2 linked regions of the Macaca mulatta genome follow. The main gene of each other region encodes a partner of the protein of the gene in region 2 in a complex. Links are inferred from orthologs where the notes say so. Each region holds a gene or a part of one and is shown on either strand. Other genes may lie near its edges. The genes, in order: SRSF1 and HNRNPH2.

Region 1 (4,316 bases), on a different chromosome or scaffold from region 2:
GCCTCCCGAGTAGGCTGGATTACAGGCGCCCGCCACCAAGCCCGGCTAATTTTTTTTTTTTCAGTAGAGACGGGATTTCACCATGTTGGCCAGGCTGGTCTCGAACTCCTGACCTCAAGTGATCTGCCGCCTCTACCTCCCAAAGTGCTGGCGTGAGCCACCGCGCCCAGCCTAATTTTAATTTGAATTCATTAGCGACGTTTAAAAATCCCAGGATTTCACATAAAAATCCAGATTGCAGACGTCGAAAAAAAATGTAAAATGTTATCTCCCAATGTCGCAGGCAAATAAGATCACAGTCCTGAATAGCAACCGCGGTCTCTAGTGGACACGGCTCTCATCCATTTCGGTCCATTTTATTACCTGGGAGGACCGGTATTTTCAATTTCAGTAACTTTTAGAGGAAACTTTTGAAAAAAGGACTGCACACACGCACCTTTTCTTCCTTCTCGTTCTTTAAAAGGAAACAACAGAAACAATTCATTCTGCAGGCAATCTGCGCTAGTCCCACGGATAGGCGATTAACAAGAGATAAAGAGGTGTGGGTACCAGAAGCAGTACTGTTACCCCTTCTGGTTGGCGGGTACCACGTTGAAAGGTCGGGGTACGGGCCCACTGCGACTAGCACAAAGAGTGCTGAACTGAGCTATGCAAAGTTCTGACGAGAAGGTGGAATGGTTCTTAATGAAAAGGATTAAGGAATCTAAACCGGTTTCGCTAAATTAGACACATCTGTCTAAGCAGCCACAGCTTGTTCGCAGCAGGGGCGGGAAGACAAACCAACGCCCCAGCTCTCTATTCAGTCACCGGCAACTCAGCTCTGGACTAGACGCACTCTACGAAGATACCCGGGTTTCCGGAGCAACGGCCCGAGCCCTCCCCCTTTAGCCCCGCCTCCGAGTCTCTTTCCCGCCAAAGGCCGTTATCGCCGCAGAGCATGGTGGGACAAGGCTTTAGGCTAGGTTTCACCAAGTCCTTTGAAGGCGCCGAGTTGCTTTCAAAGCTCCTCATTCCTGGGGAAATTGACTATCCTTCAAGACTCGACCTGGATGACTAGCTCCTTTAACGAGAGTTCTTTATTTAACTTTTACCAAACGGCTGCTCACTCTATTCGCAAACCACCCCAAGCGGGGAACGCGGGGGACTTTTTTTCCCCCTTCGTGCGGAGGGTGACGTCGCGCGTGCGTGCGCGTGCGTTGCGCGTATCCCTCGCAGCACCCGTTGCGCTCCCGCGCGTGCGTGTTGGGATCGAATCGCTGTTTCCTTCCGCTTCTCTTCCTCTGTCTCCCCCCCATATCCGTGCGCCGAGCTGATAAAGGCGCCATTTTGGAGGGGCCGCGGGAGACGTGGTGCCGCTGCGGGCTCGCTCTGCGGTGCGCTAGGCTTGGTGGGAAGGCCTGTTCTCGAGTCCGCGCTTTTCGTCACCGCCATGTCGGGAGGTGGTGTGATTCGTGGCCCCGCAGGGAACAACGATTGCCGCATCTACGTGGGTAACTTACCTCCAGACATCCGAACCAAGGACATTGAGGACGTGTTCTACAAATACGGCGCTATCCGCGACATCGACCTCAAGAATCGCCGCGGGGGACCGCCCTTCGCCTTCGTTGAGTTCGAGGACCCGCGGTGAGGCGGCATGGGGCTTGCAGCCTTGAGGAAATAGGTCCGAGTAGTCGGGGAAGGCTCCAAGGCCTTAACATAGAGAACGGGGAAGCGGGGGCTCTTAGAGAGGTTGGGGCGAGACTGTATCGCCCATGCAGGAGTCGAGTAAGGAGCTGAGTTGGTGTGGCTTCTCTGGCGCCTCGCCTTGGACGTCCCCGGAGCCCATTCGCAGGCTGGAGCGGGAAACTGAGGCGCTGAGGGCTGGTGTAGTGGTTGGGAGCCTGGCGTGTTTCTGGGTGGGGGAGGGGCCATTCCTATTATGCGGCGCATGTGGGCTCTTCCACGTTGGGTGCGCATGTGCGGGGGGTTCCCGACTGAGCGAGCTTCTCCTCCTGGTCTTTCTCATGCCTTTTACTTTCTGCGATCCCGCAGAGACGCGGAAGACGCGGTGTATGGTCGCGACGGCTATGATTACGATGGGTACCGTCTGCGGGTGGAGTTTCCTCGAAGCGGCCGTGGAACAGGCCGAGGCGGCGGCGGGGGTGGAGGTGGCGGAGCTCCCCGAGGTCGCTATGGCCCCCCATCCAGGCGGTCTGAAAACAGAGTGGTTGTCTCTGGTGAGTGTACTTGGTTGTGTGGATTGATGTGAAGGGACGGAAGCTACCTAAAATTTTTGTCTTGCATGATCGGTTTAACAATTGCAAATTTTTCATGCTAGGTCTTAAATTGCTTTAGTTTTTGGGTGAATTTAATAAACGAGGATTGCTGCTGTGGTGATTTACCAAATTAGGTTGCGGTACTAGATACGAAGATCCGTTACAAATAATTTTGGACTCTGGATCCCAGAATCTTACCAGCTCTTTACCTGGTATCACTTAAGTACACCTATTAAGTATTTTAAAGTACTCTTTGTTCTAATGTACCTTACCAGCTTAACGTGAAATTTAAGATAATTGATACTAAGAAAAAAAATCACTTTTTCAGGACTGCCTCCAAGTGGAAGTTGGCAGGATTTAAAGGATCACATGCGTGAAGCAGGTGATGTATGTTATGCTGATGTTTACCGAGATGGCACTGGTGTCGTGGAGTTTGTACGGAAAGAAGATATGACCTATGCAGTTCGAAAACTGGATAACACTAAGTTTAGATCTCATGAGGTAGGTTATACGCTTATTCTTTTCTTTGACCAGAATTGGATACAGTGGTCTTAACAGTGGAATTTGAAGGTAAGAATTCAGGCAAGGGTGTCCAAGTAAATTGCCAGATTTCTGGTTGTAGTTGCATTGTATGCATTCAGCATGCCTGAAGATAGATGAAAGCTTAGATCTTTCAATGGAAAGTTCTGTCTATCCAATAGGGAGAAACTGCCTACATCCGGGTTAAAGTTGATGGGCCCAGAAGTCCAAGTTATGGAAGATCTCGATCTCGAAGCCGTAGTCGTAGCAGAAGCCGTAGCAGAAGCAACAGCAGGAGTCGCAGTTACTCCCCAAGGAGAAGCAGAGGATCACCACGCTATTCTCCCCGTCATAGCAGATCTCGCTCTCGTACATAAGATGATTGGTGACACTTTTTGTAGAACCCATGTTGTATACAGTTTTCCTTTATTCAGTACAATCTTTTCATTTTTTAATTCAAACTGTTTTGTTCAGAATGGGCTAAAGTGTTGAATTGCATTCTTGTAATATCCCCTTGCTCCTAACATCTACATTCCCCTCGTGTCTTCGATAAATTGTATTTTAAGTGATGTCATAGACAGGATTGTTTAAATTTAGTTAACTCCATACTCTTCAGACTGTGATATTGTGTAAATGTCTATTCTGCCCTGGTTTGTGTGAACTGGGATGTTGGGGGTGTTTGTGGTTATCTTACCTGGGGAAGTTCTTATGTTTATCTTGCTTTTCATGTGTCTTTCTGTAGACATATCTGAAGAGATGGATTAAGAATGCTTTGGATTAAGGATTGTGGAGCACATTTCAATCATTTTAGGATTGTCAAAAGGAGGATTGAGGAGGATCAGATCAATAATGGAGGCAATGGTATGACTCCAAGTGCTATTGTCACAGATGAAATTGGCAGTATTGACCTTATACTAAAAGGCAGGGGTTAAAAATGATTATATACGTTTTCCTTAAAACACTTGCAAACATTTTATTCAGTTATCTTTAGCTACAATTGCTTTGCTCTTTAAACCTTGGCAATTGTGGCAAAATTATATTGCCCATTTTGTAGCAACTTATTTTGCTCCCTTCCCCCCATTTTTGTTTTAATAGGGACTAATGTGGGAAGAACTGGCTAATTTGTCACAGTGCTTAGTTACAACTGTTAATGTGTGACCTGCTGTTGGTGTACATGTGGGTACAGGGTGTCTTTAAATCCAACAAGATAGAGTATAATATCAATACTGCTAAATCTGCATGTCCTCTGTGTGACTGATAGAGCGTTGCTATTTCATTTTTTTAAGACAAAATGAAAGCAAAATATAGAGTTCCAATGTATTGGTGTAGATAATCTAGTTGGGAATACTTTTAAGTCTCACCTTCCCCTTTAAACTAATATTCATAATTGATTCATATGTTTAAAAGACTTTAATTTACAAATTAAATTGCAAATGGGAGCATTAGATATAGTTTTAGACTTAGGTGGGTAGCAATGCCAGTAAACTTAAATTACGTAACTTCTTGCAACCACGAAACCTGTAATACGCTGTACAGTAACAA
Region 2 (3,944 bases):
TGCATTTACATCTTTAATAATGATATTTGGTGCTCCTGTAGGATCATAAGCCCTTTCTGGGCTTATTGATTCTTGTATGCCAGAGCTGAGTATTGGACATGGCAACTAAAAAATATTTCTAAAATGAATGTGTGAATTCCCAATAATGTCTTTTTTTCATTTATCTCTGAAGCCCAAATATTTCCCTGATTTTATTGATTTGCATACATTTGTATATAAGGAGATTATATAAAGAACGTATATAACCTGTGTTTTGTTTGTGTTTTAATGTTTTAATTGTTGTTTAATCTTTTGATCTAGTGAAGTTTTTTATGTGTGTATATTCAGATATAGCTATCTTTTATTTGTTGACCTATCCCACTGATTTGTTGATGTTATTTTATTTATTTATTTATTTTTTGAGACTTAGTTTCGCTCTGGTGGCCCATGCTGGAGTGCAGTGGCGTGATCTCGGCTCACCTCCACCTCCTGGGTACATAAAAGTGGTTTTCCTGCCTCAGCCTCCCAAGTAGCTGGGATTACAGGCGCCTGCCACCACGCCCAGCCAATTTTTTGTATTTTTAGTAGAGACAGGGTTTCACCATGTTGGCCAGGCTGGTCTCTGACCTCTAGGTGGTACACCCGCCTGACCTCAGGTGGTACTACTGACCTCAGGTGGTACACCCGCCTCAGCCTCCCAAAGTGCTGGGATTACAGGCGTGAGCCACCACACCCGGCCGATTGCTATTAATTTTTAATGGTATCCAACATGTAATAGGCATTGAATAAATAACTTAAAAAATGAATGAGTTAAAAATTTGGTGAACTCTTTGTTTATACAGACATCTTACAGAAAAGCTGTCAGCATAGTTGAATTTTCTATTAATAGTTTGCTTTTTTATCTTACTATATCACGGGCATTTTTCCATGACAGTAGTCTTCTAATTTTTTTTTTCAGCTACACTAAAATTGCATTGAGCCAAACTTGCCACCAAGAGCCCAACAGTCACCATGATGCTGAGCACGGAAGGCAGGGAGGGGTTCGTGGTGAAGGTCAGGGGCCTACCCTGGTCCTGCTCAGCCGATGAAGTGATGCGCTTCTTCTCTGATTGCAAGATCCAAAATGGCACATCAGGTATTCGTTTCATCTACACCAGAGAAGGCAGACCAAGTGGTGAAGCATTTGTTGAACTTGAATCTGAAGAGGAAGTGAAATTGGCTTTGAAGAAGGACAGAGAAACCATGGGACACAGATACGTTGAAGTATTCAAGTCTAACAGTGTTGAAATGGATTGGGTGTTGAAGCATACAGGTCCGAATAGCCCTGATACTGCCAACGATGGCTTCGTCCGGCTTAGAGGACTCCCATTTGGCTGTAGCAAGGAAGAGATTGTTCAGTTCTTTTCAGGGTTGGAAATTGTGCCAAATGGGATGACACTGCCAGTGGACTTTCAGGGGCGAAGCACAGGGGAAGCCTTTGTGCAGTTTGCTTCGCAGGAGATAGCTGAGAAGGCCTTAAAGAAACACAAGGAAAGAATAGGGCACAGGTACATTGAGATCTTCAAGAGTAGCCGAGCTGAAGTTCGAACCCACTATGATCCCCCTCGAAAGCTCATGGCTATGCAGCGGCCAGGTCCCTATGATAGGCCGGGGGCTGGCAGAGGGTATAATAGCATTGGCAGAGGAGCTGGGTTTGAAAGGATGAGGCGTGGTGCCTACGGTGGAGGGTATGGAGGCTATGATGACTATGGTGGCTATAATGATGGATATGGCTTTGGGTCTGATAGATTTGGAAGAGACCTCAATTACTGTTTTTCAGGAATGTCTGATCATAGATATGGAGATGGTGGGTCCAGTTTCCAGAGCACCACAGGGCACTGTGTACACATGAGGGGGTTACCTTACAGAGCCACTGAGAATGATATTTATAATTTCTTCTCACCTCTTAATCCCATGAGAGTACATATTGAAATTGGACCCGATGGCAGAGTTACTGGTGAGGCAGATGTTGAATTTGCTACTCATGAAGATGCTGTGGCAGCTATGGCAAAAGACAAAGCTAATATGCAACATAGATATGTGGAGCTCTTCTTAAATTCTACTGCAGGAACAAGTGGGGGTGCTTACGATCACAGCTATGTAGAACTTTTTTTGAATTCTACAGCAGGGGCAAGTGGTGGGGCTTATGGTAGCCAAATGATGGGAGGGATGGGCTTATCCAACCAGTCTAGTTATGGAGGTCCTGCTAGCCAGCAGCTGAGTGGTGGTTATGGAGGTGGTTATGGTGGTCAGAGCAGTATGAGTGGATATGACCAAGTTCTGCAGGAAAATTCCAGTGACTATCAGTCAAACCTTGCTTAGGTAGAGAAGGAGCACCAAACAGCTACTCCATATATAAAAGCTGTACATTTGTGGGAGTTGAATAGAATGGGAGGGATGTCTAGTATATCCAGTATGATTGGTAAATGGGAAATATAATTGATTCTGATCACTCTTGGTCAGCTTCTCTTTCTTTATCTTTCTTTCTCCTTTTTTAAGAAAACAAGAGTTAAGTTTAACAGTTTTGCATTACAGGCTTGTGATTCATGCTTACTGTAAAGTGGAAGTTGAGATTATTTTAAAACTTCAAGCTCAGTAATTTTGAACACTGAAACATTCATCTAGGACATAATAACAAAGTTCAGTATTGACCATAACTGTTAAAACAATTTTTAGCTTTCCTCAAGTTAGTTATGTTGTAGGAGTGTACCTAAGCAGTAAGCGTATTTAGGTTAATGCAGTTTCACTTATGTTAAATGTTGCTCTTATACCACAAATACATTGAAAACTTCGGATGCATGTTGAGAAACATGCTTTTCTGTAAAACTCAAATATAGGAGCTGTGTCTACGATTCAAAGTGAAAACATTTGGCATGTTTGTTAATTCTAGCTTTTTGGTTTAATATCCTGTAAGGCACGTGAGTGTACACTTTTTTTTTTTTTTTTTTTTTTTTTTTGAAGGATACGGGACAATTTTAAGATGTAATACCAATACTTTAGAAGTTTGGTCGTGTTGTTTGTATGAAATTCTGAGGCTTTGGTTTAAATCTTTCCTTGTATTGTGATTTCCATTTAGATGTATTGTACTAAGTGAAACTTGTTAAATAAATCTTCCTTTTAAAAACTGGAAAAAATCTTGTGCTGATTGATTTTTATTATGTTCTGTCATATGGGCACGCTGATTGACTTTATAATTCCCTCAAAATTAAAATTTTTAATTTTAAAATTATAAACAATATATTTAGCATCTTTATATGTTCATTGTTGCATATATCATTAATTATTTCTAAGATATATCCCTAGAAATGGGATTGCTGAGTCAAAGATACACTCATTTTTAAGGCTTCTGATTTGTGTTACCAGCAAGATTCTGGTACTTTATCTTTTTACCTGGAGTGTGTGCTTTATTTTCCCCCTTATGCCCTCCTTATTGATGCACATTATTCTTTGTGATCTTTGCCAGTCTGTTAGTTGAGAAATGATATCTCATTGCAATTTTAATTTGTATTTTTTTGATTAATATTAAAGTTGAACATTTTCTTCTTTTTTAAAAAAACTTACCATGTCTACAGGACTATTGAGCTACTTTTGGAGCCACTTACCAAGATAGTATTCTCTAAAATCCAAAGAAGTGAAAGCGAATAAATAATCCTTTGTATTTCATCACAAACTAGAAGGCACCTTTGTATGTTAAAAAAGAAGTAGGCTTACAATTATGTGTCAAAAACAAAACATAAAAAAGAAGCAGGCTTATGTTAAGGAAATAAATTGTCTCCTCCATGAATTCATTAGGAGATTCTCTAAACACTCTCAGGTGTATTTTAGGGCATCTAAAGCTTATCTTAAACCAGCGTTCTCAAACTTTTCATGTGCATCAGAATCATCTGCAGGGGTTGTTTAAACATTCATTTCTAGGCCCCATCCCT

What was found.
Region 1: HNRNPH2 (region 2) and SRSF1 share a complex: the UniProt entries of both Homo sapiens proteins name them as parts of the ribonucleoprotein complex. The link is inferred for Macaca mulatta from reciprocal best matches to the Homo sapiens genes HNRNPH2 and SRSF1.

Annotation. Positions count from the first base shown.
Region 1 is NC_133421.1:51,982,335-51,986,650, forward strand, and holds the start of SRSF1 (serine/arginine-rich splicing factor 1), read left to right. Parts: upstream 1-1,226; 5' UTR 1,227-1,429; coding exon 1,430-1,623; intron 1,624-2,031; coding exon 2,032-2,216; intron 2,217-2,583; coding exon 2,584-2,756; intron 2,757-2,939; exon of another isoform or gene 2,940-2,956; coding exon 2,957-3,151; 3' UTR 3,152-3,516; coding exon of another isoform or gene 3,517-3,555; 3' UTR 3,556-4,316. UniProt on the Homo sapiens protein: Plays a role in preventing exon skipping, ensuring the accuracy of splicing and regulating alternative splicing.
Region 2 is NC_133426.1:108,302,315-108,306,258, forward strand, and holds the end of HNRNPH2 (heterogeneous nuclear ribonucleoprotein H2), read left to right. Parts: intron 1-916; exon of another isoform or gene 917-937; 5' UTR 938-990; coding exon 991-2,340; 3' UTR 2,341-3,157; downstream 3,158-3,944. UniProt on the Homo sapiens protein: This protein is a component of the heterogeneous nuclear ribonucleoprotein (hnRNP) complexes which provide the substrate for the processing events that pre-mRNAs undergo before becoming functional, translatable mRNAs in the cytoplasm. Binds poly(RG).